Linked DNA regions of Oreochromis niloticus. The protein of the gene in region 4 purifies or fractionates together with the protein of the main gene of each other region. This does not show direct contact. Links are inferred from orthologs where the notes say so. Each region holds a gene or a part of one and is shown on either strand. Other genes may lie near its edges.

What was found.
Region 1: the proteins of armc8 (region 4) and ranbp10 purify together in Homo sapiens (affinity purification with mass spectrometry; 5 studies listed by BioGRID and IntAct, with this or other methods). This does not show direct contact. The link is inferred for Oreochromis niloticus from reciprocal best matches to the Homo sapiens genes ARMC8 and RANBP10.
Region 2: the proteins of armc8 (region 4) and mkln1 purify together in Homo sapiens (affinity purification with mass spectrometry; 4 studies listed by BioGRID and IntAct, with this or other methods). This does not show direct contact. The link is inferred for Oreochromis niloticus from reciprocal best matches to the Homo sapiens genes ARMC8 and MKLN1.
Region 3: the proteins of armc8 (region 4) and serine protease HTRA2, mitochondrial purify together in Homo sapiens (affinity purification with mass spectrometry; 5 studies listed by BioGRID and IntAct, with this or other methods). This does not show direct contact. The link is inferred for Oreochromis niloticus from reciprocal best matches to the Homo sapiens genes ARMC8 and HTRA2.

Annotation. Positions count from the first base shown.
Region 1 is NC_031972.2:6,977,701-6,985,466, reverse strand, and holds the start of ranbp10 (ran-binding protein 10), read left to right. Parts: upstream 1-4,763; 5' UTR 4,764-4,986; coding exon 4,987-5,185; intron 5,186-7,766. Other genes in the region: tsnaxip1 (translin-associated factor X-interacting protein 1), read right to left, coding at 65-174, 458-571, 659-822, 1,734-1,869, 2,190-2,386, 3,381-3,474, 3,574-3,711, 3,897-4,005 and 1 more. UniProt on the Homo sapiens protein: May act as an adapter protein to couple membrane receptors to intracellular signaling pathways.
Region 2 is NC_031981.2:37,619,902-37,627,318, reverse strand, and holds the start of mkln1 (muskelin), read left to right. Parts: upstream 1-4,398; 5' UTR 4,399-4,463; coding exon 4,464-4,543; intron 4,544-5,573; coding exon 5,574-5,643; intron 5,644-7,417. UniProt on the Homo sapiens protein: Component of the CTLH E3 ubiquitin-protein ligase complex that selectively accepts ubiquitin from UBE2H and mediates ubiquitination and subsequent proteasomal degradation of the transcription factor HBP1.
Region 3 is NC_031983.2:11,985,863-11,993,650, forward strand, and holds the start of serine protease HTRA2, mitochondrial, read right to left. Parts: upstream 3,009-7,788; 5' UTR 2,748-3,008; coding exon 2,284-2,747; intron 736-2,283; coding exon 531-735; intron 410-530; coding exon 215-409; intron 101-214; coding exon 68-100; intron 1-67. Other genes in the region: mis18bp1 (mis18-binding protein 1), read left to right, coding at 5,312-6,134, 6,253-6,390, 6,518-6,819, 7,036-7,109, 7,257-7,378, 7,513-7,603, 7,765-7,788.
Region 4 is NC_031987.2:32,721,774-32,728,725, forward strand, and holds the start of armc8 (armadillo repeat-containing protein 8), read left to right. Parts: upstream 1-3,938; 5' UTR 3,939-4,102; coding exon 4,103-4,147; intron 4,148-4,460; exon of another isoform or gene 4,461-4,935; coding exon of another isoform or gene 4,936-4,938; exon of another isoform or gene 4,939-4,946; coding exon of another isoform or gene 4,947-4,982; intron 4,983-5,629; coding exon 5,630-5,706; intron 5,707-6,916; coding exon 6,917-6,952. Other genes in the region: dbr1 (lariat debranching enzyme), read right to left, coding at 1-223, 1,203-1,348, 1,433-1,510, 1,612-1,836, 1,932-2,017, 2,104-2,184, 2,267-2,391, 2,487-2,701 and 1 more. UniProt on the Homo sapiens protein: Component of the CTLH E3 ubiquitin-protein ligase complex that selectively accepts ubiquitin from UBE2H and mediates ubiquitination and subsequent proteasomal degradation of the transcription factor HBP1.

The DNA.
Region 1 (7,766 bases), on a different chromosome or scaffold from region 4:
CCAGTATTTATTTGTGTGTGCATGCATATGTGTGTATGTTTCAATGTATATCTATTTTTATCACCTAGACTCATGGACAGGGAACATGTTGCTCTCAGGGGCATCAGAGGTGACTGGTTCCTCTTGTTGCTGGGACTGAATGTGGCTTTGCCACTGGGACCCACTCTCATCAGTCTGAAAAACATTTTGGTGGCAATGTTTGGTCGCTACTTTTTTTGTCAGTTTACGATGACATTTTGCAAATATTATTATTTCCTCCACTCTTTATGTCAAGCTGTCTCTAACGCTGGAATAGCAGTATCGATCTTCTGGACCCTAATTTATTCATATTTAGGCTCTTTATCAGCTTTATCAGGTGACATTTATTAGATTAGAGACAAATATTGACACACACATTACATTTATTAGAATATTCATAGGATTGAAAATCTGTTCAAGTTCTACATACGTAAAGTACCTGGACAGAGGTTGAGACGTGTGTCTTGGCCTGCATGCTGCCTCTTTTGTGGAGTTCCAGCAGAGTGTCATGCTCACTCTTTAACTGATCAAAGTCGTCCTGGAGTGTCTTCAACTTCACAATAAAAAGAAAAAAAAAGTCACCAAAGACTGTTGAGATGTTAAGTCATGAAGTCTACATATAGTATCCAGCATGAGATACCTGTAGCTCGGTCCGTTGGTGTTTCTGTTCAAGGGCGTCCCAGTCACACTGGGGCACAACACCCCAGTACTCTGCATTCATCCTGTTCAGTTCCTCCTGGGCGTTCCTCAGGTCTTCTCGACACACCTTTAGAGCAAGCTGCAGTTCCACAGGATCCTTCCAATCTAAATGGAAACACATGTAAGAGCATGACACACTTCCCTATAGACATTTATATTTTATAAACATAAAAACATATGTTTAGCTGTGCTCTAGAGGTTACTGTACTTGGGTTTTTTAAAAATATAGATAATGTTGGCCTTTTCCATCTTTATGATGAGCCAAAGGTTCTCAAGGAGGTTTTCAAACTTTTTCTGGCATGCCCCACATCATAATCAATAATAATACAAAAAATGTTGGAAATTAGTGAAATAAAACTTAAAAGAACAGATTTTTGCAAACTTTCACAGAGTTAGAACTCTTTCTAACTCACCGTTAAAGAAACACTGTGTTAAAGGTGAGTAGCTAAAGGTCTACTATGGGCAGAAATTCAGTTTCTGATGGCACAGATTTCTACCCATAGTCTACTCACTGGTATTTGTTTCCAGCAAACAAGCACACTTCCCAAAGTGTAAACTATCTATTTCTATAAAAAACTTACAGAGTTATTCTCCATTACTACAATAGTTACAGAGAGTCTCTAGTAAGTCACTGGAAATGTTTCCTAAGGAATACCATCCAATAAAGATATTGACAGTTTCAACGTTTAAACAAATTATTATTTTCAGTATCACTTAAAGGGTATCAATTGTTTTTCCTTAATTTCCATCGTACATATACTGTTACTATGCCGACTCCTCATAATAACCTTCAAATCATTTGGTCAGAGTGTGAGAAAGTAATCCCTTTGATAAATAAAATAAAATAAATCAATTAATTAATCCCAATAAAGAATATGTTATATTGTCTTAAAACCATACACGTTTATTTTGGGAAGAAATCACATCTAAATTCCCATCTAAAAAAAAGGACCTTAAGTTATTTTCAGTTCACTGTTAAGTAGTTAAAGATGTAATAGATGTTGTTATAACTGTACTTTTGTCTGCAGAACGCTCCTCCTTCACAGTACTTTTTGTCATGTCATTGAGCTGCCAAATCAGCAACCTGCGAGCATCACGCTCCTCCCGGTACTGCAGATACTGGTCAGACAGTTCTGACTGCAGATGATCCACCTTAAGAGGAACAACAGGCAGTGGGGTGACTGATATGATAATGATGAGCTATTAATTGATGGATAAATTTCCTTCATGCGCAGGCTTGTGTGTATGCTTTCATGCCCTTAAGCTTTTATGCTTTCATAAAAACTTTCATGCCCTTAAAAGTCACATGTCTTGATGCATTCTCAATCATCCAGGTAAGTAAATCTCCAAAAGTTGATTCTGTTTATCTAGATGTAGCATTTTCAGTGGGAGAAACGTTTCGTCACTCATCCAAGTGACTAACAGTCACATGATTAATTAAACAAAAATAAAATTAAAAGTATGCCATTTACCACTGCCTGCACTGTCTTCTCTCTCTTTCTTATGGCTTCAATCTCTTCCTTTAGCTTCTGCTTCTCCATTTTCAAGGCAGCAATCTCAGCCTGCTCCTCTGCCCAGCGAGCTTGAATCTTTCTGTCACATTCCTCTGTCACCAGCCTCAGATGGGACTGCAGTGGTTCCAGCTTTTTGATTTGTTCTCCCTGACGAACTGAAAAGATGTACACAATGCATGCATTACAGCAAATAATCAACTCACTGATATAAAGTCTTTATACAAAGAAAAGCTAACCTATACAAACTCCATCTTTTTACTGAATAGACAATTAGTTTAAACTAGGTTAGAATAACATGTTGTGACCAACTCTTTCTATGCTACAATAGAACTTATCATTTTACTGCCTACACAGACTGCTAGGACCTTTTAGAAAACTATTGGAATCTAGTGGAATCCTTTCCACTAATTTTATTAACCTCTTAACCCAGATTTGCTCTCACAAATGCTGAGTCGAATCCTTACAACGATGAAGAAAACTGTATGATTATGTATAGGATGATTTAGAAGAAAACACTCAAAAATGAATGGCAAAGAGACAGAATAGTACCCAGAGAAGACTCAAAATTATTAATATAATTACTGAACATTAACTTCACTAAGTTTTGAGAAATTAATTCTGAATAATATTTTTTTGACAAAGAAATACATTGCCTGACTTTGCAAGGCTGGATGGAACCACACTGGTTGGTGTGTATTATGACTGCAAGAAAGGTCCTAATGAAATTATACTTTGCAGTCAAAGTAGGCTAGACTAAATACTAGGCTAAATACTTTAGCCTAGAATCCTCATAATATATTCCCATAACCATCCTGTCTCTAAAGAGATATCTACGTTGTTGTTACTATTGTACATCCTCTCTTTGCATGTGCATTTGAACCAATAAATTTAGTTTGATGTAAGACATTTACCACTTAGATGTGAGAGAATATTGATATTTATTATAAATATATAACTTAACCCTATTACCCTATTATATTAACCTATTACCCAAAGGTAGTATATTTTTCTGTTTTTCCCAAAAATGTTGTGGGATGCCATTTCTAATCTGGTTCAAAACCTTCTCAAATCTGCTATAAATTGTTTTTTTAAATAGCATTTTTATAAAATCTATACAAATCAGGCTAGCTTTCTAATAGAGTTACTGACCAAAGGTGTTTTCATATTCCTTTTTAATGGCAGACAGAAGGGGTTGGTAAGTTTTGAAGGCAGTGATGAAACATTCAAATGCATTGCGGTAGACCTGTAGGCAAAGTAGAGTAAGATTTTAAGTACTTAGACTGCAGCAAGAAAATACGTGTATATCTTCTAAACATAAATACAATCAACAAAAACATTTCACCTGAAGTTTCAGCTCCTGAAATTTCGGCTCATGTGGGTCGATAGCATGAAGCTCCTTGCTCACATAGTTCTCCAGCTGCATCAGAAGTTGTGGCTTTCTGTCTGGGCCTGCATAAAAGAAACTGCCTCCTGTCCAGCACTGCATGATTGGTCACACAAAGGCACACACAGTACTGTGAAAGGAACTTTGCTGTTACACTGAAAGATAACGTTTATAAAGATGCCATAAAGTTCTTAAATGATCTTTATACCAATGAAAAGAATTTAGATGTTGGCAGGACAAAGTCAGACTGCTGTTTGTGAAATGTTGCCTGATTTACGTACCTTTCTCGTTGCACATGGTTGGACAGATACACCACCAGCACTTTCCTCTTCATGTCCTTCCTCTGATTCCTGGGCTGTGTAACTTTGCAGATTGTGTTCATATGTAAGTCTAATATGCAAAGAACACAGTCAGTCTGCCTTAAACGTACTTTAAATAAGCTTTGAAATACAAATGTATTTATACATAAAAACAAACGTAGCATGATATTTGGTGTAAATGAAGTCATTTTATCACTTGCCTTGTTTTTTGTGACGGTGTTAAAGGTGGAAATTTTATATCTTTGTTTGGTGACATTTATAGCTTTGATATAAAGGGTAGACAATAACAAACACTTAGCCCGTTTAAAACTTTTGTATTTCTTCCGTTTAACTCAATGAGATCAGCTTTAGCGTCGCACAGCACAACATTTGTAGCAGGGTTTCCATGGTAACGATGACTGACTACGCAACAAGACCCCACGTAGTTGCCCGGTGCGCGCCTAACTAATTTTAAAAATGGCAATGATTTTATCTGCTCAACTCAATCATTAACTTTGATATATAATAACTAATATATGGCAACGTGTTTTATAAAGGCTATTTCACATATCTGCTATATTAATTACAATATAATAAAACTTTGTAAACAACACTGTGTTTTTATGAACAGGCACATATTTCGCCGTGGAAATAATACTGCTATTAATACTTAAAAAGACCCTGTCACTCACAAATAAATACAAGTTTCACCATGTAAAGTTCAAAATTAAATTATATAACGTTTTGAAAACGTGTGTAAGTTTAACAGACGAAAACTACATTTCCTAGCCACCTATCTCACTGGAAGGCCCTAAACCCGTCTGACAGTAGTGGAACTCTGTAGTCATTTCTAGAGACATTAGCATAAAAGCGAGCGTACAGCTGAACTACAGTACCCACACGACACTGTTTCAGCCTACAGTACATTCTGCTGCTTATCCGGGGATGTCACACCGCTGCTATTTTCTCCCCTCAGTCCCTCTCACTCTCAGCCTACAGCTCCAGCGGACTGACACTGGGCTTTGGATAGAAAGAAACGAACAATAAGATACAAAAACAGGAGGCCAAAAAAATGACAGAGCTCGGAGCGGGAAGCCTGCCGCTGGGAGATCCTGCTTTTAATTACCAGGAGCACGAGCTTAACGAGAGGCTGAAGCGGCTTTACCCGGCTGTAAACGAGGAAGAGACCCCTTTACCCCGATCCTGGAGCCCCAAGGATAAATACAGCTACATTGGGCTGTCACAGAACAACCTACGGGTCCATTACAAAGGTTAGAGACCTGGCTCATCACTGATGGGCCTAAGTGTGTAGTCAAAACAGCAGTTCAAATCTGTCTGTGTTGTTGCGGAAGGGGGGTCTCTCTCTCTCATACACACACACACACACACATACACACTCAGTATGCGATTATGTTGACTGTGTATGTGCGTGTGCAGTCCTGGTAAATCTAGTCTGAGCTGCCTCTCCTGTCCTGTAACCTTGCTTTGTTTCACGAATGAGCAGAGGAATGCCCAGATGGGTGACAGTGAACTCGCTAACCCTGGCCATCGGTCTCATTACCGTCACACTGAAATTCATCTTCAATATCATGGCTCTTCTTTGTTTATTTACTGTTTATGACGTTACTGCTTTGCAGTAAACTCACTGCATCTGACGTTCTCCTCGCTTTGTACTGGAAGGGGACACTGGCAGCACTAACGACGCATAGTTTATTGGCAAACCCCTGTCTAACTTACGGGAGCTTGCTAACAGAAAGCTGTTAACCAAACACATTAGTTAGCCTTGTGGCTAACCAGCTAACGTTAGCCAACTTAGCTGTTCCTGATATTGAATTGAGGACAGTAGGTTCCGAGGTGGACACCAACAGAACTTGTTGTTTTCCAGTGCAGTGTTAGTTGAAATATTAAAGCTGTACAGTGCTACAGCAAACAGGATAAAATGGCATTGTTTTGTGTTTCTCGCGTGATTTCAGAGCAGTGTTCTAGAAGTCTTTTCCAATCATTTTTTCCGTCCACCTCCATTCAGATCTGCGTGCCCCGAGCCTAACAACAGCCTCAGGTCCAGTCTCTAGCAGGCAACAGAGGTGCTGCCGTGAGAGAGGAGGCCTCTGCGCATTACATTAGGCCAAAATGCACCGTTCTGGTAATAAATCCGGAGTATCGACAGGCTCTGGCATTTTAACGTTAACAGCAACCTGACGGTTCAGTCAGTCTTTCATTCAGATGGATAAAAGCTGACAGCAGGGCTTTTAGCCGTCTCAATTTAGCAACCACCTATATCAAAACAAGGTGACATCCGTGTGACGGCTTCTGTGCTGTTCAGACACCCCCGACACACACACACACACACGCACACACACACACACGCACACACACACACACACACACACACACACACACACACCAAAACAGGAAAACACTACAAGACTTTAATCACACACTGTGAAAAATCCCAATTGATAGGCTACTTTGGGCCCTGTGTAGAAGGCGAGAGGATGCAGGCAAGATGTGTAATTCAAAATTAAGGTTGTGTAATCCATTTTGTGAGGTTTATGGAGTGGTGGTCCTACAGTTTGTAAATAGCAGGGAGGGCCTCTTATTTATAGACTCGGGCCTAAAGCCAGATACAACCGCAGATCATTTAATGCATAATTGATCAGGTCCCTGCTGATGAGCAGTTGAATATGAGCTTCCATTCAGTTTATCTGTTGTGTTGAGAATGCTGATTTACCTTTTGCTATAATCAGTGCTTATAAGATCATTGTATTCTAGTCTAGAATTACCTAACAGCTCTGGCACTGGCTCAAAGTGGTGTATTGCTGAGGATGAGTCATGCCATTTCTTGTTGAGGTTATGTTGGACATGGAGTCATTATGTCTATGAAAGGTGCACAGATTCAGTGACACTGCACTATTGTTAAGGCATGACATATAAATAGGTTTGTTCTGGAGTGTGTGAGATATTTTTTTCTGCTCCTGGTTGTTCCTGCTCTGTTCCCTCACCCTTGTGGTTTGGATGCTATTTTGACCAGCGTGCCAATTTTCTCTGTTCAAGGCCATGCAGTGTCTACCTAGTCCTGCTGCACACTGACAGAGATTAATCCTCGCAGCCTCAGCAGCAAGATAGATACTTAAACAAACTTAATGACTTTGTACCAATAAATGCAGCAAATGGTGTTACTTTTTACACCTCTGGAGATGCAAAGACAATTTTTTTATTAACTTAGAAATAAAGAGAGGGTTACAGTTGCATAGTAGGAATACATAGTAGGAATAAATATAATGTTCTGTAACACACCCTATAGTGTTTTCTTTGCACTTTTAAACTATTACACATATAATAAATTCACCCTGATGAAAGACCAAGCTGTTGACTAAGGATTTTGTTGGAATACTAATTGTTTTGCTGTAGATTTATGTTTTATGAATTACAGTAATCACAATGTCTGTGTACCAAGCAAAATTTTAACTGAACAGCAATTTTCAAAAGCAAATAGTTTCAAAAAAGTCAATTAATCATTTCTTTGACCTGTGAGAGAAGCACTTTAATATATACTGTGAATAACCATAACAGGACTGAAGTGGAACGAAAGGAATAGTATGGGATTTCAAATTCACATACTTTTCAAAATTTAGTTGAGCAAAAGGAAAGCCTTTATCTAAATAGGAGCATGATGATTTCAAACTACAACCCATTTTTTGAGCTATGTTGAAATTAAAGTGCACATATAGAGAAACCTACAGGCTGCTGCGGAATAGTCACAACTAAGGCCCCAGTCATTCTCTGTTGTGTACAGACACCAAAAGCTGGAGTAATAATTGCTGTTATACTTCTTTGAAATCAGATGTCTGC
Region 2 (7,417 bases), on a different chromosome or scaffold from region 4:
TAAAGCTTAAAAAACTGAAGTTATTCATTAAAGTTATATTTAAAAACAAAATTAACTTTTAATTTCACATTAACAGATGCATCTCATCAACCTGGGTAGCTAGTCAGCGCTAGCTCTAAACGCTAATGCTTGAAACCAATATTCCATAAACTGGTGGATGACTTCGCTGTGGCTACAGCCATCCTTTATATACAGTCTATGTTGCTTCTCAACAAGGCAGCAGGGAACACTCTAACAAACACTGTGTACAACAAACACACATTTACTCACTGGCGGTTTAACGCAGCGAGGCATTAACACTTCCTTAAGGATTTCTATATTTCACTCAAGAGTTGTTGGAAAGCAGAGGCCGAGGAACCGCAGGATAATGAATACTGGATGCAAAACAAACCTCGAGTCAGTGCTAATGTTTCTCTTCGTCTGCTTAATGTTGGCTGTAACACATTATGGGCCATCACTTTATATTGTTATTTACAGCTTTTTGTGCTGTCTATAACAAACGCAGCATTTCTACCAGTGCAAAGATATTCAGTTCAGATGGACGAGTTTTAAGGTATCATCCTGTAAAATGTAACAAACCAAACTTCTTCCAGTCCCTCATTAACAGGCACAGCACCCAACTTATTATCACTGCAAATACAAAATGTACCTGTCAAACAATTACACAACAGATAACATCGTGCTTCAGCTCGACAACGATTACGTGACCCAACATCTAACCCACACTTAGAAAAATGAAACATCCACGCTCGCCTGTGTTCCACAGTGGTAAACCACGTCTCACTTGTGTTCCCAGTTTACATCCATGCACATGAAACTTGACAAGCGTCCCTTCCATTTCTAGTAAGTGGAAGTAAGGGTCTGCCAAGTGCTGGAAGTGTGCTTAAAAGAAACACTGTTATCATTCAGTGCACACCATCATCAAGCCTGGATGGAGTCCACTTGTGGATGATTCATCAAAAACTAACACTTTTGCTGAGATTTGACAAAAACATTCCAAAGAAAGACTGGGCGATGTTGGGAAGCCGTGGGCTGCCGTTTCTCATTTAGTACATCTTTATGTCTTTAAAGCATGATTTTTCAAAGTTTGATTTAATTAAATTGCTATAGAAACAAATAATGTAGCGCTTACTGCCTTACACTGACTTCAGGAAAATGCCTGAAACGAGACACAAACTGCTGTCACCTCTATTATCTCATGTTCGCTGTTCATCTTTGGTGCGCGTGACCTAGTTGTCTTTGCCTTCTGTTGGACTCTGTCAGTGTTTTGTTGGATGGGTGAATACTAAGGACAACAATGAGAGTCTAGAACTTCATCCGTGTGTCAGATGTGTTGCTCCGTGGCTGTGTTGTTGAATATTGGACTAAATTAGAAACATAGGTTGATAAAGGTGCAGACCTTGTATCGCAGTTGCCATAAGGTTAGTGAGTACAGTAGATTAGGAACAGTACATACAGCTCTTAAGCTCTTTTTTGAAGTCTATGTACGGCAGTGAGATGGAGAGACTTGGTGGCAGTCAGGACCGTGTGAAAATACCAGAAGTCCAGGGGTCTCTGAGGCTCACAGACCCCCTGTGGTTTGAATTAGAGTGGATTACAACTCTCAGCAACAAAAGACACCTCTCGGCTCCCCCTTGCTTACTTTTCTTGAGCTCTGTGCTCGTCTGAACGAGTGACACAGCCGGCAAAACTTGGTTCCTTTTATGCAGCAAAGCCACAGTGCACTGCGAGTCTAAAGCATGACGTCCATCGCCGTGTGCACACTGCTCACTCAGGCTTTAAACTATCAGGCCGAAAATAACAATCATTGGTTCGTTTATTTTAAGTAACCAATCTAGAAAAGACCAAGCATGAAAGATGCCCGCCACATGTTAGCAGCTGTTGAAGCAAAGCTTTTCAAATTAGTTTTTCATTTTCTCAAACTCTGAATTTTCACTTTTATAAACTTATTTCAAATGTTTTATCTTATAAATATCATAACTGTCACAGTCCAGTGTCCTGGTTTTTTGATTTTCATCATCATCATCATCATCATTATTATTATTATTATTATTGATCTTCCTCCCCGGTCATTCGCGTCTCCCGTCTCTCCGTGTTCCCTTCGTTCAGATCAAGTCCGCGTCCCTGTGCTATTCTTCCTGTTTTACTTTGACAGTCCTCTCTTGTGTCAGTGTGTATAGTTTTGCTTTCCCCTTGTCTTGTTATGTGTGAGCACTCCCAGCTGTGTCCCATTCCCTTGTTATCCCTCAGTGTATTTTAGGCCTGTGTTTCTCTGTCACTGTTCTGTCGTCCTCTCTCCGTGCTGTGTGTTTCACCTTGCTTTTCTGAGATTGCCGTCCCAAGTTTCCCGGTGTTTTTGTTCTTAGTTTCTAGTTTTGGTTTTGTGAAATGATGCTACTGCGACGAAGCAGCCTCTTTACGTTTATTCCTCTGAGTGTTTTGCGTTTGGATCCCACATCCTGCCTGCCACACAGCCGTATCATGACAATAACATCATCACAACAATTTGTATTGATTGTTTTAGTCACCATTTAACTGTCGCTCTGGAATTGAGCTTCGATTTCTTTATAAGAAAGAAAATAGACTGAAAAAACTTGAATTGCATGATAGGAAGTGCATGCTGTGGCAACTGAATATCAACTCAAACTAATACGGACAATAAAACAACACATGTGAAGTGAATGGGGAACAAATGGGGAAAAGGATACCAATGACGAATATATGCTCACTGCACCAAGTGTTTGCTACAAAAACATGTGCTTCAAATGGGGACGAGGCAAATATGAATGTTACAGCTTTCCTTCTAAATAGGCAGGAGCTGGAACAGGTCAGCAACTGGTTTGAAAGTCACTGGTTCAATCCCTGACTTTCTCCAGCCCATATCTTGAAAGTGTCCTTGGCAAGATACTGACATTATCCCCAATGCATCCACTGAAGTCTTACAGTATGTGTGTAATTGTTAGAAAAGCTGCTGTCCATGGATGAATGTGGCTCGCAGTGAAAAGCACTGTTCAATGTTCAGCGAGAGTAGAAAAGCGCTCTATATGTACAGTCCCATGTACCGTGTTATCCCCTGCCAGTCACTGTTAGGCCTGAGATTTTGCTTTAAAAAAAATCTTCGATAGCAACAGATTATTCTGGCACAACTTCACCTACTTCCAAGGTGCATGGAGAAGACAAAGATCTGAGGATGTGAAGACTCCAGGACACTTATAGGGACAGGGAACAGCTTTATCAAGTGACCAGCGCTTTTCGAGGTGTGGCCTTCATCATTAAAAAAATCTTTGCATAGGGCAGAGCGAACCAGCCCAAACTATTCGATCATTCAAAGAGCTGGAGTGTTAGTTGGTACAAAGCGAGTGATGGTATCACTTTGATCTCAGAGACTATTTTCTACATTTTTACAAAGTGTTGCTTTCAGGTCGGCACACCTATCTGTTAAGAACAAGCATCCAGTTACAGAACTTAGCTGCCATGTGTCTTTAGTCAACTGACAGTAAAATATCCAGTTGCAGCAGAGCACAGCTTGTGGTGATCCAACAAAACCAGTCAAGAAAACCAGTGGTTGACGTTATGGTAGCTATGACCACTTGTATGTTAATCCGTGGAGGTAATTTATAGCGTTTAGCTCAAATCACAATCACTACACAATCAACTATATACTGAAAAATGTCGAGTCATCTTCTTTCAAAGTGTTTGCTGTAAATTAGGAGGCTGAGTTTGCTGTGTCTAACCGGAATAAAGCGCGTTAGTCACCAGATGATTCACCCACTCTCTAAGCTTCAGTGACTTCACATATAGTAAAACACTACGCTCAACCTGAAACGTGCTTTTTGAAAAGGGACACTGCTGTCTTTGTTTCAGAGAGGACACACTGCAGTCAGCTGTATGATACTGTATGATCAGCTTATTATTTCTGTGGGGGTCGTTATTCTATTCTATTAATATTTATGTATTTATTTTGAAACCCCTACTTCTGAATCAGGTTTAAAGAGTTTTGGTTAACTCTACTTCCAAAGCTGTGGAGCTGTGTAGTAATTAGGGATGATGTACATATTTAGGAACACGCTGACGAGAGACTGGGAGGAATGGGGCTGGAGAGGGGCGGAGAAGATCGGCCTGTGGCCTCAAAGCACATTAATGTCATGGAGGTCCTCAGTATATGTTTATTTTTTCCGGAATAAAATATTGTTATTATTTTATTATCATTCGCTTTTTATGTTTTATCGATTTAAGTTAACATGTTTCAGCTTAAATGATATTTGAACCCCCCCAGATAATTTATAAAAATACGAGTTTTGTTACGATGAATATGAAAAGCTGACTTGATAACTGCATCGTGCAGTGTGTTCATGCTACCGAGGACGCTTCGTAAACAATACAAATATGTGTACTGTCTCTTTAAGAGCTGTCAATATTCGCTCCTTGCTAACCTCCCGCTGTCTGTTATTTTCTGCAACAAGATGGCTGTCGCTCCCGAGAGCAGAGTCCTCACTTTCAGCGTTTTTAAATGGAGCTCTTACTCGTCTACATATTTACCTGAGTGAGTATCTTTCCCATCCCCTGGCCCAGCGTATACATTAGGTTTTGCGGTGGAAAGTGGTCTTTTGTCACCTCGGCGCACTTGTGTTTCTTCCACCCTGCCCGACTGGCCTAGCTTGTCTGCGGTCCAAGCAAGCTAGCGCTAGCTACCGTATGGGGCGTTTGGTTTCGGATATTTAGCCGCCCGATAATGATAATGTTGTCTTTCCGCTAAACATTTCTTGGAGGCAGTAGCTTACGATGTACTTTATGTGTGATGAAATGACGCTCAGTGATTTCTGTGAAATGTGTGGGTAACTAAGGGACAGTTTCCCACTTCAGTGTAGGATATCAATTGGAGCGTTACCTCAAAACGTAAACAAAGCAACTGAATGGTGTATTCTTCTCTTATAGTTATATTATTCCAGAGTGACAACCCCAAAAGCTTGGCATTGGAACACGCCTAGGTTATTCTTTGTAACTTCCGTTGTCACAGCTGTATAATATTTTACGCTTTGATTACATAGTGTACAATTCGGTATCTTAATACGTGAAAAACGAACGTCCACGTTAGCTAACTGGACTCCAGAGCTGAAGTAGGCAACTAGCTGCTGTTATCTAACCATAGAGCTTTGCTTTAGCAGCTATGCTAATGAGCTTGGTTATAGGCTATCTGAAACTGTCGTAACGAAAGGAAAACTTACTTATCGCTCACGCCAACACCCATGTTATAATCTAATATAAACGAAGTTCCCCATAGCTTCGCGTCTTTCGCCTGTTGCTGGTTCAGCACTCAGTAAACAGTTCAGCAGTAGCTGACTTAATGCTAGTTGGCTAACAACAACAGTTACCTAAATGAGCCTTCTAACAGAATGTAGCGTGACTCCAAAAAGTAGTTTTGTTATGTGATAAATCTACTGTCATAAGCTTCCGGAACACACACAGACCTGTATTCGGCCCTACTTTTCACTGCTGTCTTTGCGCGTTTTCTGCTGACTTGGTGGGATAATATTCCACAGTGGCTAAATACTTGTCCCTTTCTTTTTGTTTAGGAATATCTTGGTGGATAAACCTAACGATCAGTCCTCCAGGTGGTCTTCTGAGAGCAACTATCCTCCACAGGTAGGTTCATTTCTGGTAAGATGAGTTTTAATTTTTTTGACCTGGAACAGCAGTTGTCCATGAACGTCGTGATTTGTGTAGGTTCATAGGGCCACAGTTCATGGGTAAGTGGCTTGGCTAATTAATTAACATTAATATTTTAGAGAGGGGAACATCTTGTGAAGGTGTGTAAACAGGAAATTGTGCGGTCTGCACAGAGAGGCCAATGGGGTTGAGAAACCTTTTGCTTTACTGGGATGCTCTTAATTCTTTGGGAAATTTTGACATTTTAAGACGGGGCATCTGGAAACACGTCAATTACACGTCTGTGTCACGTCTGTGTTATTACTCACACCATAACTGCTACCCCACTTTCTGTAACCTTCTCCCAAAAAAAGTAACTACATGTCAGGTCACCGTACCACAACAACTTTAACAGTGTGCCAGGTACTTGAACTTGTCAAGTAAAAGTAAGTAAAACATTCCAAAAATGATTATTAATAACAGTGTAATGTAGTGAACATTATAAAGCTTAGCTGTGTTGGGAAGTTTGTAAGGGAAAATCTACCTGAAAAAGAAAGTGGAAGGTGTGGGTGCTGTGCCTGCTGCCTCACCTTTGCCTTCTCTTCCTGTGTTTTGTTTGTTTTTTTTAAACAGGTAACAGTTGTGGGAATTCTTTCTTTGCATTTAGCTTGATGGGTTTTGGTCATCTTCTGTAACTCCACTTGAACACTAAGGCTACGTTCACACTGCAGGTCTTAATGCTCAATTCCGATCTTTTGATCAAATTCGATTTTTTTGTCTGCTTGTTCACACTATAAATAAAATGTGACAGCAAACGCTCTCTAGTGTGAACGCTCAAAGCGGCCCGCATGCGCAAAAGAAGATGTCACACACAACGCGCTCTGTTTAGACCCAGACCAAACAGTATTGTTTGACTGATGGCCCTTAATATAGAGACTTCGGACTTTACGTTTCCCAATTTTTGCTTTAAGTTTTTTGTTATTTACATAATAATGTAAATAACCTAATAATGATCCTTATTGCTGTTTTAGAGGAGCGCTGCTTCAAAGGATAGCTGCAGATTTCTGTCAGAATCTGCAGATTATACAGTACAAATAAAATGTTCACGTTGTCTTCCCAACAGTTTCACTAACATCTACACTGGATGGCCAGGAAGCGTTCGCGATGTCTTCTCCGGCGCTGATAATTGGCGTCTGTCTTGTGTCAGTGACGTAAAAGACGGATTTAATGCGACCTGACCGTTCACACAGCAGTCGCTTTCTAAAACATCGGATATGTATCGGATTCAGTACCACATACGAAAGTGACCCAGATCGGATTTGAAAATATCGGATTTGTGCTGTTCACACAGTCATACCATGATCGGATATGGGTCGCATAGGGTCAAAAAAATCGGATTTAATGCGCTTTCGCCTGCAGTGTGAACGTAGCCTTACATTCTTGGCTTTGCTCCTTGAGGATGTGCCTAGAGTGGAGAAATGAAAGCAAAGCAGAGTTGTATACTCAGCTGAAATGGAATGAGTCCATATAATATAGATAGAGTACTTAATTTTATGGGGTTTCTTGAGGCATGCTGTTGCTGGTAGACCATCATTTATATGTCTGGTGCTTTTCCTCCTTATAGGCTGTTAGACTTATTTTTCTTGCAGATGTGAATTCTCAACTGTTTATGCCTTTTCTGTTTACAGTTTAATAAAAATGAATCCAGTGTTGTTCAGTAAACTATTATTGTTTATTTACACAGACTTGTTTTCTAACTAAATGGTAAAGT
Region 3 (7,788 bases), on a different chromosome or scaffold from region 4:
ATCAGAGAGAGAGAGAGAGAGTGTGAGTGTGTGAGAGTGAGACACACAAACAGGACTTGTGACTCACCAGATTAACGAGGGGACCTCCAGAATTTCCAAACTGAAAAACAATTAGTCAAATGTGGCATTTAGAAACACGATAGGAGACGCCTGAGTCACTGAAAATACACTATCAACATATTCCAGTTTAAATATATTCTATTCAAGTACTCACATCAATGGTTGCATCGGTCTGTATGTACTCCATGTTGGAGTTGGACAGGCCCAGCTCCTTACTGCCTCTCTGCACTGAGCTGACGATCCCCGATGTGATTGTATTTCGTAACGAAAACGGGCTTCCCATAGCAACCACAAACTCTCCCTGTCGGACGTCAGACGACTGGCCGAGTGTGAGAGTGGGTAACGGGTTCTGCATATGTCAGGAGAGAAAGAGCATCTGAAATAAAGCTCTTTGTTTCTCTGTCTGTGGTGAAAGCACACATGCTAGTCTAGTTCCTTTCACTGAGACTGGCCCCTATTTTCTTGCTCACCCTCGCAGAGATTTTGATGGTGGCGATGTCAGTCACAGGGTCGACATCCTGCACGGTGGCATTATACGTCTCTCCATTGGTGAGCTTCACACGGACACCTCGCTTGTTGGCTACAACGTGGGCATTAGTGACGATGAGACCATCGCTGCTGATGATAAAACCGGAGCCGTTTGACACTGGGACCTCTCGCCCTGAGAACGGGTGTCTGTAAAGTAAATGCAGCTTATGTTACTGAACCTGGTTCATCAGGGTTAGTTTATCATGGCAGGAGATACAGTATTGTGCAAAAGTCTTGAGTCACCCCTCATTTCTTCATGTGTGTCTAGGAAAATGGAATATAAGTTCCTTGTTTTTACTGAAACGTGCAAACATAGAGTTACGGTATATGAGGCAAAAACAGTGTTTGTACAGTTCTAATTAGTTTTAAAGTTGATATTTGGTGTGATCACCTTCATTCATCAACACTCTCCAAGTTCTCTTGGAATTTTTTTGTAGTTTTCAGGAATAGTCTTTCTGTTTTTCTATTCAGATATGCTTGATTTTGTTTTACATCATTGTTATACTAAAAAAAATAATAATAAAAATAGAACTGTCAACAATAATAAGATGGATTGGCAGATGCTAACAGAAATGTAGCATCGAGATCTGATGCTACTCTTATGTTTGCGATTCCATAAATTTTGACATCCCCAACATCACAGGCTGAAATGCAGTGCACTGTGTTTTAAAGATGCATCTCTCAGGTCTTGTGTCAGGTCTTTGCTGGATTTTGTCTTCTTTTGACTTTCATTTAGACAGACTGTTAGACAGGCCTGTCACTTCTTCTTCTTCTTCTTCTTCTTCTTCTTCTGTTTTTTTTAAAAAAAGGAAGCGTCTTCCACTTGTCCAGGTTCCTCAATTTTTTTAAGGACACACTGCTGAGATGTGTCATGTTTTCAGCTAATAGCTTTTTGGAATCATCTTGATTCAAAAATACTACTTCATGCTTTTCAAACTGTTATCTTTGGCATTTTGCATAGATTCAGTTAAAGAAAAAAAACACTATGTGGTTTTTTTTTTTGACAAGCTGCAGTAACAAAGTGCCTAAAAACACAATTCAAAAACTGGTTCTCAGGCAAGTTGTCCATTATTCCTCCAATGAGTTAAGTGCCTTTTTAAATGTCACTTCAGCTTCATGCTTCAGCTTCATCGGCCAGCATTAAGTAGCTTAACAAACAAATTTAAAAAAAAAAAAAAAAAAAAAAAAAAAAAAAACTCTTCTGGAAAAAGGTCAGGTAAAAGGACTGGACTGAAAATAGGTAAAAGCAGATCTCCTTTATGAGAGCTGTTGCTCAAGGAAAACACACACACACACACACACACAGTAAAAGGTTATTGTGACACAAACAGTAAAGGTGGGGGCTGACTGTCAGGACTTTACCTGATTCCACTTACTGATAAAAACAAGACTATCCACTGCTAAAGTATATCAGCAGCTGATGATATTTTTTGAAAATAAAATCACAAATGCTTTGGGTCCTTTTCTGTTGCATCTGTAATAAACAAAAAAAGAAAATGCCCCTTTTCTCGTGTTTTCTGGTACATCTCCGGGCAAGTAAGATCAGCTTCTAGGACTGAGTGCTTATCTCCAGTGTGTGCTCACAGCTGTCTGAAATCTTGATTTAGGAAAATAACCGAATAAGTCACACACAGACACAGAAAACAAACTCACTGACATTTATTACCGTCAATGGCACCTCTCTAGTTAACTCACCTGCCCACGATTTCAATGTACACCACAGCTGGAGTGGATTTTTCCACCACATCTGCGATGAAGTTGTACTTAAATCGGGGGCCGTCTGGTTTGAAGGGAGAAGCGCACTGAGCCGATGGGAGGATGTGCTGGAGAAATCCCCGGGATATTGCCACTTCTTTGTCCCCCGTTAGGTCTTTTTCAGTGTCCAGAAGCGCAGCACCACAGAGCCCCAAACCCACCGACACGGAGGTGAGCAAAGAGGAGCTTCTGTTGCTGTCCCGACCGTTTCTTCTTCTTCTCTCCCCAGCTTGAGCTCTCCTGTCCGGGCTTGTGTGTCCTCCTGCAGCCTCGTGGTTACATATCACAGCAGAGGAGACACGACTGACTGTCCTCTCAGCTAACGAGTTAAGTCCTCGGGTCTGACACCAACTTTGAGTCCTTAATGCTGAAAGAAAGCCCCTATTGACAGCCGCTGCTGCCATGTTGCATCACTTTACTCGCTCAACGTCGGTTTGAAGACAGCCAAAAAGCACTTTATATCCCAATGTTTGCAGCAGTCTGTTATTCACGCGCCTTCATTTAAAGTGTACCGTTATCTAGCCCAGTTAGAATAACGGAAATACACAAAAAAATTCTCCACCTATTAATTTTTAGCAAAACACCCTCAACACGGTAATGTCACTAGTAGTTTATGATTGCGCCTGCGTGGTAAGACACTTTCTTCTTCGGTGCTGTTTTTTCCTCCCTGGACTTTTGTGGCTTCTGTACTCATTACTGCCCTCTGCAGGGGAGAAAATGTAGAGGTTAAAAAAATCACCGAACTATCTGTGAGTTACAACAGAAACGGTCAGGTTTGGCGTATTTTTTCATGTATATGCATGTTATCAAGATAGTAAAATTTATTTATTAAGCGCTTTTTACAGAAAAACTGTCACAAAATGCTGTACAATAAAAAGAGTACAATAAATAAGACCTGTGCATACTAATTGCGTTATACTATTCTCCTTAAGTACAAGTACCAATGGAAAGTTGCCACATAAAATAAGTTGCTAGGCCTATGAATTATGATATATAAATTAATTAAATGCATAAAAATTTCCAAAATATTATTGCTTTTACAGTTAAATCCTTAAAGTTAAGGAAAAGCTGTCTGAATCTAATATTGTTTTCTTTTTTTATTATTTGCTATGCAAATAAAGACTTTAAGTTAATTGATTTTACTCTTGGGGAGCTCTTATCCACAAATGGAAGGTGGTTAGACTAATAAATGGCTACAGTTAAAGAGAATAGAATGTGTGTGTGTGTGTGTGTGTGTGTGTGTGTGTGTGTGTGTAAAACTAGAAGAATTTAATAATTTAAACTACATGATAAAGAACAAATATAAGTTAAAATACACAAACATATCAATTACAATATATGCAATACATATATACATATACATACATATATCAACTCAACAGCAAATATAATTTTTTATTTTGGAAAATTACAAAGTGAAAGAAATTCACATTATGTATTTATGTTTTCTGTATGTATCACGTGAAAAAGTCATCTTCTTTTTAAAAAAATCTTCATAAAGAAATTAATTATGAGTTACTTTTCTGAAGTCATATCACAATGGTTGTCATTTTTTTAGTCTTAAATGTAACTGACTATTTTAGATTGAATTATATTGAATATTATATATGTATAGTTCTTCGTTTATCCATTTATTATTATTTACTCATTTTTTTTACATGCTCAACCTTTGGTGAGTAATAAAAGTATCATATTTATTTGTATTTTCATGTTAAATAATAAAATATATATTTTTTTAAACTTACAGAATGCAACGTTTTCAAACTTTTAAATAAAGTTTTTATTCATAAAAACAAAACTCCAGAGATAAGCGGCAGTGTTTAAAAATAAATCACTTTTCCTGGAAACTTGGGTCCAAATGGGATCCTATTGGTGGCTCAGCTGGTTAATAAAGAGGGACAACTACTTACTTACAATGACTTCATTGCACTATATAATTTTCCAATCAGTGTTCAGGAATTCTCAGTGGTGCTTGGTGCCATACCCTCAGGGACTCTAATGTTATATAAAAACACTGACAGCTCAATATCTACCTCAGTCACTCTCCCTGATCCAGCTGAGTCACCAATAGGAAAAATCTGCTTTTCACAGGAACTTGGTAACAGCAATAAGAGAATACGTAGTTTATTCCAAGAAGATGTCGTCTCTCTCCCATATGTAATATCTTACTGGAACCGATATGTTCCAGATATCAAGTGAAAGACAGTCTGGATGATCCCCCATAAATATTTGATTGTAAATAAGGTGAAGGAAGTCTCATTTAAAATTCTACATAAATGTTATCCAGCCAGTCACTACATGGTAAAATTTAAAAGAGACATAAATGCTAACTGTACTTTCTGTGGGGATCATCCAGAAACTGTGACACATCTTTTTTTGGTACTGTTCTTTTACACAGAGATTCTGGAAGGAATTTAGCAGTTTTGTTATTGTCCATATTTTAAGGGAATTTTCTTTACGATGGGCAAATGTTTTATTCTGTTTCTTTAAGTTCCCCAAGAGGAATGATAAATGTTTTTTATGATAAAATTTGTTAATACTTTTAGCTAAATTTTTTATCCATAAATGTAAGTTTACTAACAAAACACCATATTTCTGTCATTTTTTTAAGGATGTGGAAATGTATATACAATCAATATCAGACTCTACCAACAAAAAGGCTCTCAAAACAATATATATCTGTGAATTTTTGCGTGTATTCTTGTAACTTTTCACCCCTGGCTTTGTGTGTTCATGTTCTGTTGTTTTGTATACTTCATCTGTTCGTATACTCATTGTTTGTTAAATAAAGTTTAACAAAAAAAAAAGAGAGAGAGAGATAAGCGGCAGTGACGTACTTGTTGTGAAAGTACGTCACACGGTTTGAGCCAAAGGCGGCAGAGATGAGAAATTTAAAATTTGCGGGCTAGCTCGTTAGCTGCTAGCTCACGTCTCGGACCTATAATCAGGTAACTTCAGCTCGAGAATCATGGCTTCGTATCTTGATTTATTACAACAGACAAAACCGCAGTTTGAATCTCCGGCCAAAGTTTTTGCTAAGCTCAAATCCAAGGTGCAAAAGGAAGCGATGTGCGCAAAAGACGGCAACGGTCCGCCGAACAACGCTCGAGAGGAGCACAGAGTTAATTTAAAGTCGCCCAGGAAGCAGCAGCAGAGGATCTGGGTGACCGACGAATTCGATGAGAATCAGAGGTTCGGCAGCGAAGCCCAGCCTTTGATCCTCTCGCCCATTAAGAGTCCACAGAAAACCTCCCTGTGTTCGTATTCAGACTTTATCCGCAAGTCTTTGGAGGAAACGCCTCCAGTGGTTGAAATGGGACTTGGATGCACAAGAAGCGAGAGACGTTTCCTGGAGTCGACAGCCGTATCTCACCCTCTCTTTCTGACTAATCATATCCACAAAGAACCTCCTCAGGTCAGAGACTCGGATCGGTTCATCGTGTCCAGCAGGACTCCGTTGAAGGTTCAACCTGTCGAAAGTGACTGCAAGAGCATTGCTTCTGATGAAGAATGCGCTCCTCTCCACCAACCCGTGTCTACAGCCAGTGCCTTTTCCCCGATGGTGAAGAGGCTGAGGAAGAGAAAATGGGAGCAGCAGGAGTTTAACAAAGTCAACAGCACTGAGGAGGTGAGAAATGAACTCACATGTCAGCCTCGGCAAAGGAAAGCCCCTGCTCTCAGCGAGGAGAACACCCACAGCACCTGGATGAACATCAGAGGATGCTCTGCTGACCAACCAGAGAGGATCCCCGAAAACATGTTTACACCAAGAAAATTAGTCGCAGAGAGACGTGAGACATTTTTTCCTGCCTTTCCCCACCTTACATCAGAATATAGAGGTGTATAGAAATCACCTGGTAGACGCCTACAATAGAATAATAATAAAATATTTCTTCTGTTTTGAAACAGGCTGTGGTGTTGTTTTGGAAAAAATTCCTATAATGTCTCCAGCTAAGATGTTTGCTTATATGAAGGAGAGAGAAAGCAAAAGGGAACGGCGGGGAGTTCATGAAGTTATCAATACCACGAGGGACATCTTTAATGCAGGTGAGTGTGCTATGGTGTTAAAAAAGCAGGACATCCGGTTTAAGCCGTTTCTATAGATATAGTTTGAGTTTTCCCAGGTCACTGTGCACAACACACCTTTGCTTATGGCACAATATCTTTCTCATAGTTAACTCCCTTAGGTCCGGAGACAGTCCTCTCTCCACACCCCACAGTGTTGCTGAGAGGGACAACAGCGTGTTTACAAATACCTCAGAAAGTGATGTTCCTGTAAGCCGGCGCATATCAGAGTCAGCTGACTGCCAGTCAGACGCCGACCCCTCCGCGGACGCTCTGACCTCGGCTGTGTCGGCGAAGCCCGTTTTGCTCGAAGACCCGCTTGTGCTCAATTCTCCGCAGATCTTGGTGCCGAAGAGACAAGAGGCTGTGTTCAAGTGCAACAAGTGGCCTAAGCAAGCGACATTCCCCAGCGTGAGTAAAACAAATGCCTCTTAATGAAATATAAGTGAACAAATGACAGGGCTTGTGTCGGTTGAGCCTGAAAACTCCAGCTCTTTGAAGAAAAACAGCTTAGATTACTGATACATTTCAAGAGCAAATTGGAAAAATAGGTCAGCGGCAGTTTGCATTTCCCTATACGAGTTTTCTCTGGTTCATCATTCTCCCCTTGTTTCCCTCCTTTGGCAGGAGAGTGTGATTTATCTCAAAAAGTGGTTCCTGAGGAAAAACAGCAAGGGCCTCTTTGTTGATGGAATCCATGGGTAAGTGTTGTTCGATGTAATTTTGAACTTTGTGAATGAGGAGAATGACATGATGTCACATTGCTTTTCTCATTCGATACATATTTAGACATTAGACTTAGACATTTTTTATGAGGTTCATTGTTAACTGCTGTCTTTTCCTCCCAGGGAAGACAACATACCATGGAACAGTAATGTCATCATGCACAGGGTTTCTAAATCTATGATAAAGACCATCTCCGGCAGGGTTTACATCCTGGTTGGGAAGATGAACTTAAAAGTTGAATCTGGTAAGCTGACTTGAACCTTTTTCCAATTGTGCGTGGGAAGAAATTAAAAATGGATAAAAAGATGAAGCAAAGCTGCACAGAGAGTCTTATGCATGGTATTACATGGATTTACTTTTTTTTTTTTTTTTTTTCAGAGTTTCCCAGGTGGTTTTTGAAAAAGTTTGAAAGGGGTTTTCCTCCTAACTGGAAGGCGCTTTACGACAAGATGCTGACAGAGTCGAGAGAGTAAGAACACCAATTTCACATCCCTGCTCTTGCAGTCAGTAGATTGTGTTAGTTTTTGCAGGGGGATTGTGACTAAATTAATTATTTTTTGTATAATTTGTCTAGATTGATTGTTGTACACCTTTGGGCTTGGTTAAGACCTAAATTTTGTTTTCCTGTAGCAACCAAGGCAGAGGAAGACAGAA
Region 4 (6,952 bases):
ATCTTCTCCCCGCCCGACCTGTGCATAGATGTCTGTGAGACCCAACTTGGCGCAAAGCTCGGTGGTCTGAGGGTTGGTGTTGTAGCTCGGGGTGGCCTGAGGATGGGGCTTGTTGGGGTTGTAGGATGGCACCGTTAGACTGAAGTTGTCTGGAATGCCAAGATCACCGCTCAGATCCTCCACCACCTGCATCATAGCGGCTTCTGAAGCGCTGAAGTCCCACCTGATGGGTGTATGCAAGCCAACATTATAAAAGAAAGCATGAACAAAAACTGCTCAGTCATAATGAGTAAAAGCATCTGAAGCAAAGGTCAGCAGAAATGACAAAATAAAAGTTCTGTTGGGTGGTGGTGCCACTGAACTCATGCAACTGTGGTGTAGTTACTTAGTGCTGGGTTCAGACTACATTATATTTCTGCCTGTCCATAAACCAATAACATGGCAGCTCATTATTAGGCTACACAATACTATCTCCCTGTATGGACGCAAAGACACTATGTGAAGTATTGTTTTGGCATCACTGAAAACATGCATTGAGCTGATTTAAGCAAATATTGGCGTCCAGAGAAATCTTTCCTTCTGCTTTATTTTCGTTACCATCTACACATACAAATGTATTTCCATGACTAAGCAGTGTGACACACTACAAATTGCTCCGCGCTCAGTTGTGCTTGCTGGCTTTGGGAAGAAGGAAAAGAATGAAAACCAACAGCTGAAGCAGTGAGTTTCATACTCCCTCTCTAACTTTCACAGGTCTAACTAGCTGCACCAGCAACTTCATTCTTGTTCTGTCGTGACGTTGTACACAGCTGAGCACTGTAGTTTAAAAAAAATTCCAGTGACTAGCTCTAGTGCTCCTATTGGTTATTAACGTTTTACTTGCGCTTCAAAAAATCATAAAAGTGGCATTAATTTGTGGAGAACATGTTGCCAAACAAAACATGCAAATATCCAACTTGTTTTTCCCATAGAGCTTATTTTTGTTGCTTATTTCGCCAAGGCAACACAGGTGGTGATAACATCCTACACAGATCCTGTCTTCCAGAGTGACCTTTCCCCTGCTGCATGACACTGACTCTATGTTCAAGCTAATGTTTTTACAAAGTCTTAGTTCTGGGAGACTGATGTTGTTGAAATAATGCAAGCAGCAACTTAACTCTGCTTTTACAGGCCTTGTTACTTTTATGTGTATTCGTGTGTACCGTTCATGCAAGCCATTATTCTCTGGGGGGTTCCAGGGGTGAGGAGTGGTCCTCTGTAGAGTGTTGGTAGCCTTGAGAATAGCAAGCCACTCTGGATCATATTCAAGACCCTCAGATGAACCTGGTCTTTCAGGAATATCCACAATCTGAAAAAACAAAAGGTGTTAGCTCACACACTTTAACCCAGACTCTGATCCTAATATATCAATTAAAAAAAAAAGTTGTCCCACCTGTAAGAATTCCCTGTGGGGCAAACATTTATCCAGAGACAGGAATTTGGTTACGTGTGGTGCACTTTTACCTTTAGGCTGAAAATAAGAGATCACCAAAATGATAGTTAGAACGATTTAAACCTTATTTAAATCCTTATTAGCAGCAGTAATTCTAACTGAACAACTGTCACCCTCACCGGATGCTGCATAATGGCAGCAAATTTCACATGAAGATGCGCAGAGAACCAATAGCTAGGCTGGAGGTGAGCTAGGAGCTCCTCTGCAGCAGGACTTCCCAGAGAGTTTGACTCCACCTCCTGACGAAGGAATTTCTTCTTTCGTAACAGCTCCTTCGTGCTGCCGTAGTAGTAGATTCCACGAGGCCAGTCATGGCTCATGAAAATGTCTATGGGCATCTGGATCTTAGCAGAAATAATCATGTAAAATTAACACTGTACATTTAGCTAAACAAGTGGATAATCATTTAGAGTTCTGTGGAAGAACTTGTGAGATTTACCTGTTTTAATTTGAAAACCTCGATATTTCTGATGTGGTATGCACTTCGAAGCGTTTCAGGATTATATGGAGGGAATTCATGGTGGCCTTAAAGTGAAAACATTCCATGTAAATATGATGCATAGCAGTGTAGCCTCAACTATTTGAAAAGCTAAACAAACAAAAACAAATACCCTTTCTGTAGTCACGTGATTTGAAAATGCCAGATAAGCCACCAATTCTGATCCCTTTGTAGCGAATAACACCAGCATAACCTGGGGACATGTGATTATATAGGTCAGGCCTGTGGCGAGTCAGACAAGCTGGCAAACAAATTTGGAATCAGTCAGTCTCTACCTAGATAATAAATGTTTGGTGCCACCCAGCCTCCATAAGGCAGCTCTTGCAGGTGATTGGAAGCCTCGTGGTTTCCTCCAATGAAAATGGTCAACACCGGAGCCGCCTTCTCTCCAGAATAGTACCTGCAACACAGACAATAATAAAGTTTTAAATGTCCTTACTCGTGTCTTTGATTTAAAAAAAAAAACAAAACACACAACATAAACAAAGAACTTACTTGTAAAAGGTCTGCATGGTTCTGTACTTGGCAGGCACTGCCATGCACTTCAAGTCTCCCTCATTTCGCACTGCCTGGAAGTCTCCACAGCAAAGCAGCAGGTCCACCTTCACCCCTTCCTTCTGCTCCAGATACTCAATTGTCTCATAAATCTTGTCCAGCTCCCCATGGCAACAGCCTTCTACTGCAATTTTCATCCTGTGCAAACAGATGATCTGCCAACGTGCAGAGAAATTCACATTCACACTAAAGGATGGCTTCTGTTCTCATCTAAACACCATCGGCCTCTGTGGACACAGTCAAGCTGAGGTCCACGGCCTCCTAAAAGATGATTTGGCAGTCTATAAAGACATACAATGGTGATGATGATTACTTTCACTTAACACACAATTTCGCTAAACTCTAGTTCTAATATACATTTCAGTTGCGATTTTTTTTCTCACATCTAGTTGGATTATAGTTTTAGTTGCCCTTTAATCACACAGTGGAAAGGGACTTTAATAACCTATAATACGGTGTTGGATTATCTTAAACAGTGCTAATGAATTACCATGTGACTAAAGCTATCCAGGAGCAATCGGGTAGACACCCGTTTAATTTTAGCGCGTGAGCAGAGCTCCTGATGGACTGTCATGTTTCATTTTTCTAGAAACAATAAATTAAATGAAAGGTATGCGAACTGAAGATGACCCTAGCACCTTTTTTTAACACATTAAAGACTCAACAATGCACGCTGCACCGGGGGGTAGCCCTTGAATACGTGCAGTAAGTAGTGCACGACACTTTTTATTTTTTATTTATTTTTAATCTGACAAATGTGTCCCATCTTGCTTTTAAGAATCCTCTACTTCGTATCCTCACACTAGGAGCTCAGGTCCTACGATACAACACGCAACAGCTAGCTAGGCTACGTAATTAAGCGAAACAACTCGACAGCGTACATGGAGGAAATTTGTTAAACCAGAGCAAAGTAAACGAATTGAGTACTTACAAATATGGGAGTATAATTAACGAGTATTTTGAGCCGGTTTATAATCCATAAAGTTGCAAACTTGTGCAAAAAAACATGCTTATGTTTGTGGAAGAAACGAACAGAATGAATTTTCCCACCTCGCCTCTACCAATACGAGCGCATGCGCAATTCTTCATCAAATTCTAGTATCTAGCAGTAGATTCCATTATAAATGTGTAGAATTATATTACTATACTTGTTGCTAAGACTTGATTTAAAAATATATTGTATTTTAAAAATTACCGTTTTTATATTTATTCCTTAATCTGATGCATAGTTCGCACGAGTCAACCTACTGTGTCGAATCAAATTCAAGCAGACAGCAACTACGTCACGTTTATAAACAATATTTACTTTATTGACAAGTCCACGGTCTGTCAGAGAGCTCGCTAAGTTAGCGGTGTTGGTTTTTGTTGCATATCTGCTACGGGACATCACAGCTGAGCCTACGGAAGAATATAGAGGCCTGTTTTAGAAATAACGCTAGCGAAGAGTTGTGTGATTAGGCTACAGTTACTTTTTAAAGGCCTCTCAAAGCTGCTCTGGGGGGTGGAGTGTCTCCAGACTGCTGCGCCGATTGGGGCGCTCCATCGGAGGAAGAGAGATGGCGTGCTTATTGGAGGCCCCACTCCGCATCAGTGTGCTGTCTGTGAGTGCCAGTCTTTATAATTTCAACTAGCAGTGTCAGGTTATAGAATGCAAGCGCCAACTGCGAGTAGCTGATTTTGTATGGTCAGCTAGAAGGTGTCAAGTATAAAGGTTTTTCTGTTAGCCATAAAGCTAAGTTAAAGGCATTGCAACATGTAGCGGTCCGCCTACGTAGCTGTTGTAGAGAATGACTTGTTTCCTCGCGTTCCCCGGGCGGGCGGGAACATTCTGAACACAATAAAGGGAATACATGCGAGTTGTGCCCGCTCGCCCCGTCGTTGTAATCTAAAACAAAATTAAGCGAACAAACTAGCTGTCAGTGTTACTCGGAATGAGTTAGCAGCTAATTGCTAAGAGTACCAGTGCTGTCACCAGTTTTGCAGTAGTCAAAACACGTTTATAGAATGCATCATGCACATTGGATAACAAGTTGTAGGAATGAGATTTTTATTCAAACCACTCAGTATTATTTGATTTTAAGTTATGCGCCGTCTTAATTGCAATAGCAAACTTAACATTGTTAACCTAGCTAACGTTAGGTGCTCCTGCAAGTAACATTAGCAACTGTAGCATACGGTTAAGCTAGCGAAGCAAACTTTGCTAACTCACTGGTTTCCTTACTCTTGAGGTGTTTTTATATGTAGTGTGTCGGCAGTCAGAGCTGTAGTAACTGGTAAGACTCTGGGATTTACTCTAGCAAGTGACACTCACTGCAAACTGTAACTTGGCTAATATAACGCAAAATGTTCCACGAAAAAGCGCGTAAGGAGCAATAGTGAAACGCCCCCCATGGTAGGTGTATGCAGAAAGGAGGCAGCGTGATTGAAGATATCATGGTAACTGATACTTTAGCATCTCAGCTTGACTCTTTTTTTTTTTTTTTATAACACGAGTTGATCCCTTATTGTGTATACATGCTTAATGCTGTGTAATTGTGAAATGAATGTTTGCCACAGTGGCTGTCTGAATGAGAGGTACACAGGTACAGAACGTGTTGGGACACCTTGTGAGCTACGTGCTGGCATCACAAGTGTGACTTCGTTGGCAGCTGGAGGACGTTGACTTCTCCGGAAAGTTCTGGTCAAAGCTGCCAGTGATATAAACAAAGTTTTCTGGTGTCGCATGCAGCCACCGGGTGCAGTGTCAAAAAGCTTTTAAAGGCTCCTGCCGTGGAGCCTGCTGTATTTTTCTCTGCGTGTAACACAAAAAGTGTTATTTTAGTTGTAAAAAATAACAATTTAAAACTGCCCTTTTTATGTATAATTAATTATTGTTTATTTAATGGTTAATATTTGTCCAGTTAGAAACCAAATTCCGTAGGGTTTTACTCTGCTGAAATATGTGCACTTTGTCTGTTGTCAGATGTGGAGCACAGCGTTTGATAGTGTAGAGAAAAAACACTGTACAAGGTAAATCCAGGGTGAGGTCAGTGATTTCTAAAAGTAATGTTTGTGTTTTTGCTTTGTTTTTTGTTCTAATGCAGGAAGTCACCGCCACCAGTCGGCATTATGTTGACAGACTGTTTGACCCCGACCCACAGAAAGTGCTTCAGGGAGTCATGTAAGTGTGGGTCTGATCGCGTATGACATATACACATGTAGATCAGGGTTTTTCCTGTGTCAGAATAGTTCTTATGTGAATACACACAAAAATACTGTCGCACCTTATATAGGTAAGGCAAGAAGTCTGTGCATCTTATAGAGTTTTTTTGTTTTTGTTTGATGCACAAAATGCAAACTTGTAAATTAAAGTGAAGTCTTACATATATTTTTTTCACAGTTTTCATTAATTCTCTTGGTGAAAGGCCAAAACCTGTTGGGTGGGTGGAGACATTGCAGAAAAATCTCTGCGTGTCCTGTTTTGTTTGTTTTTGATCTTGTTTTAAATTTTGTTTTACAAAGTGCAGGAAAAAAGGGTTGACAAGGTTTGAAGTAATTTTTTGGCAGTAAATGACAGCTGTGAAATTCTGCTTACTTCCAGTTTGCAGACTTTATTCAGCCACTGCAATAACACATCTTTGGGCTTTCCTGATTTTTTTTTTTTTCTTTCTTTTTTGTTGAAAATGAACGAAATCGGTGGTTTAAAACCCCCCCAAAACAAACAGTCCACACTGTTATGTTAAATTCAGCTGTTGTTGTTGCTAAGAGTTTAATTCCACCGGCTGTTTATCATTTACCAACACATGTGCTTGTTTTTAATGTCACAAATTCTAAACATTAGTGACAACAGTGTTCCAGAAGGAGTGTGTGCTTACATGCACAGGCTTAGCTGTTTGTGACTTTGTGTCTCACTCTCACTCTTGGTCTGGACTGCTGTGATTTGGACTCGGACTATTTAGTTATTTTTAACTTACGGGGAGACTAGCTCTGGTTACGACTTGTATCGCTTCTTTAGCCAAGCGCCTGACCACCTTAACTGCCTCCTAGATCAGTGTGCTTTTCCACTCACTTCGCTGCAGTTTGATATCACATATCATCTGGAGGTACTAACAGCAGCAGAAGCACACAGGGCGAAAATGCACTTAGATGAAGCCTGTTCATTTCTAATGTGTTACATGAGAATATGTAGAACATGAGATTGATATCAATGATTTCTGTTGTTGTTTGTCTGTCAGCCTGCCTGACCTGTGTCAGCCTGATGTGCTTATAACTTAGCAATTAAATGATAACATGCTATAAATCAAGGTGTTCATATTGACTCTTAAGGTTATATTATGTTGTTTCAAATACATTCACATGTCTCATTTGGATGTATTTGTATGCCTTCACAGTGACATGAAGAACGCTGTCATAGGAAACAACAAGCA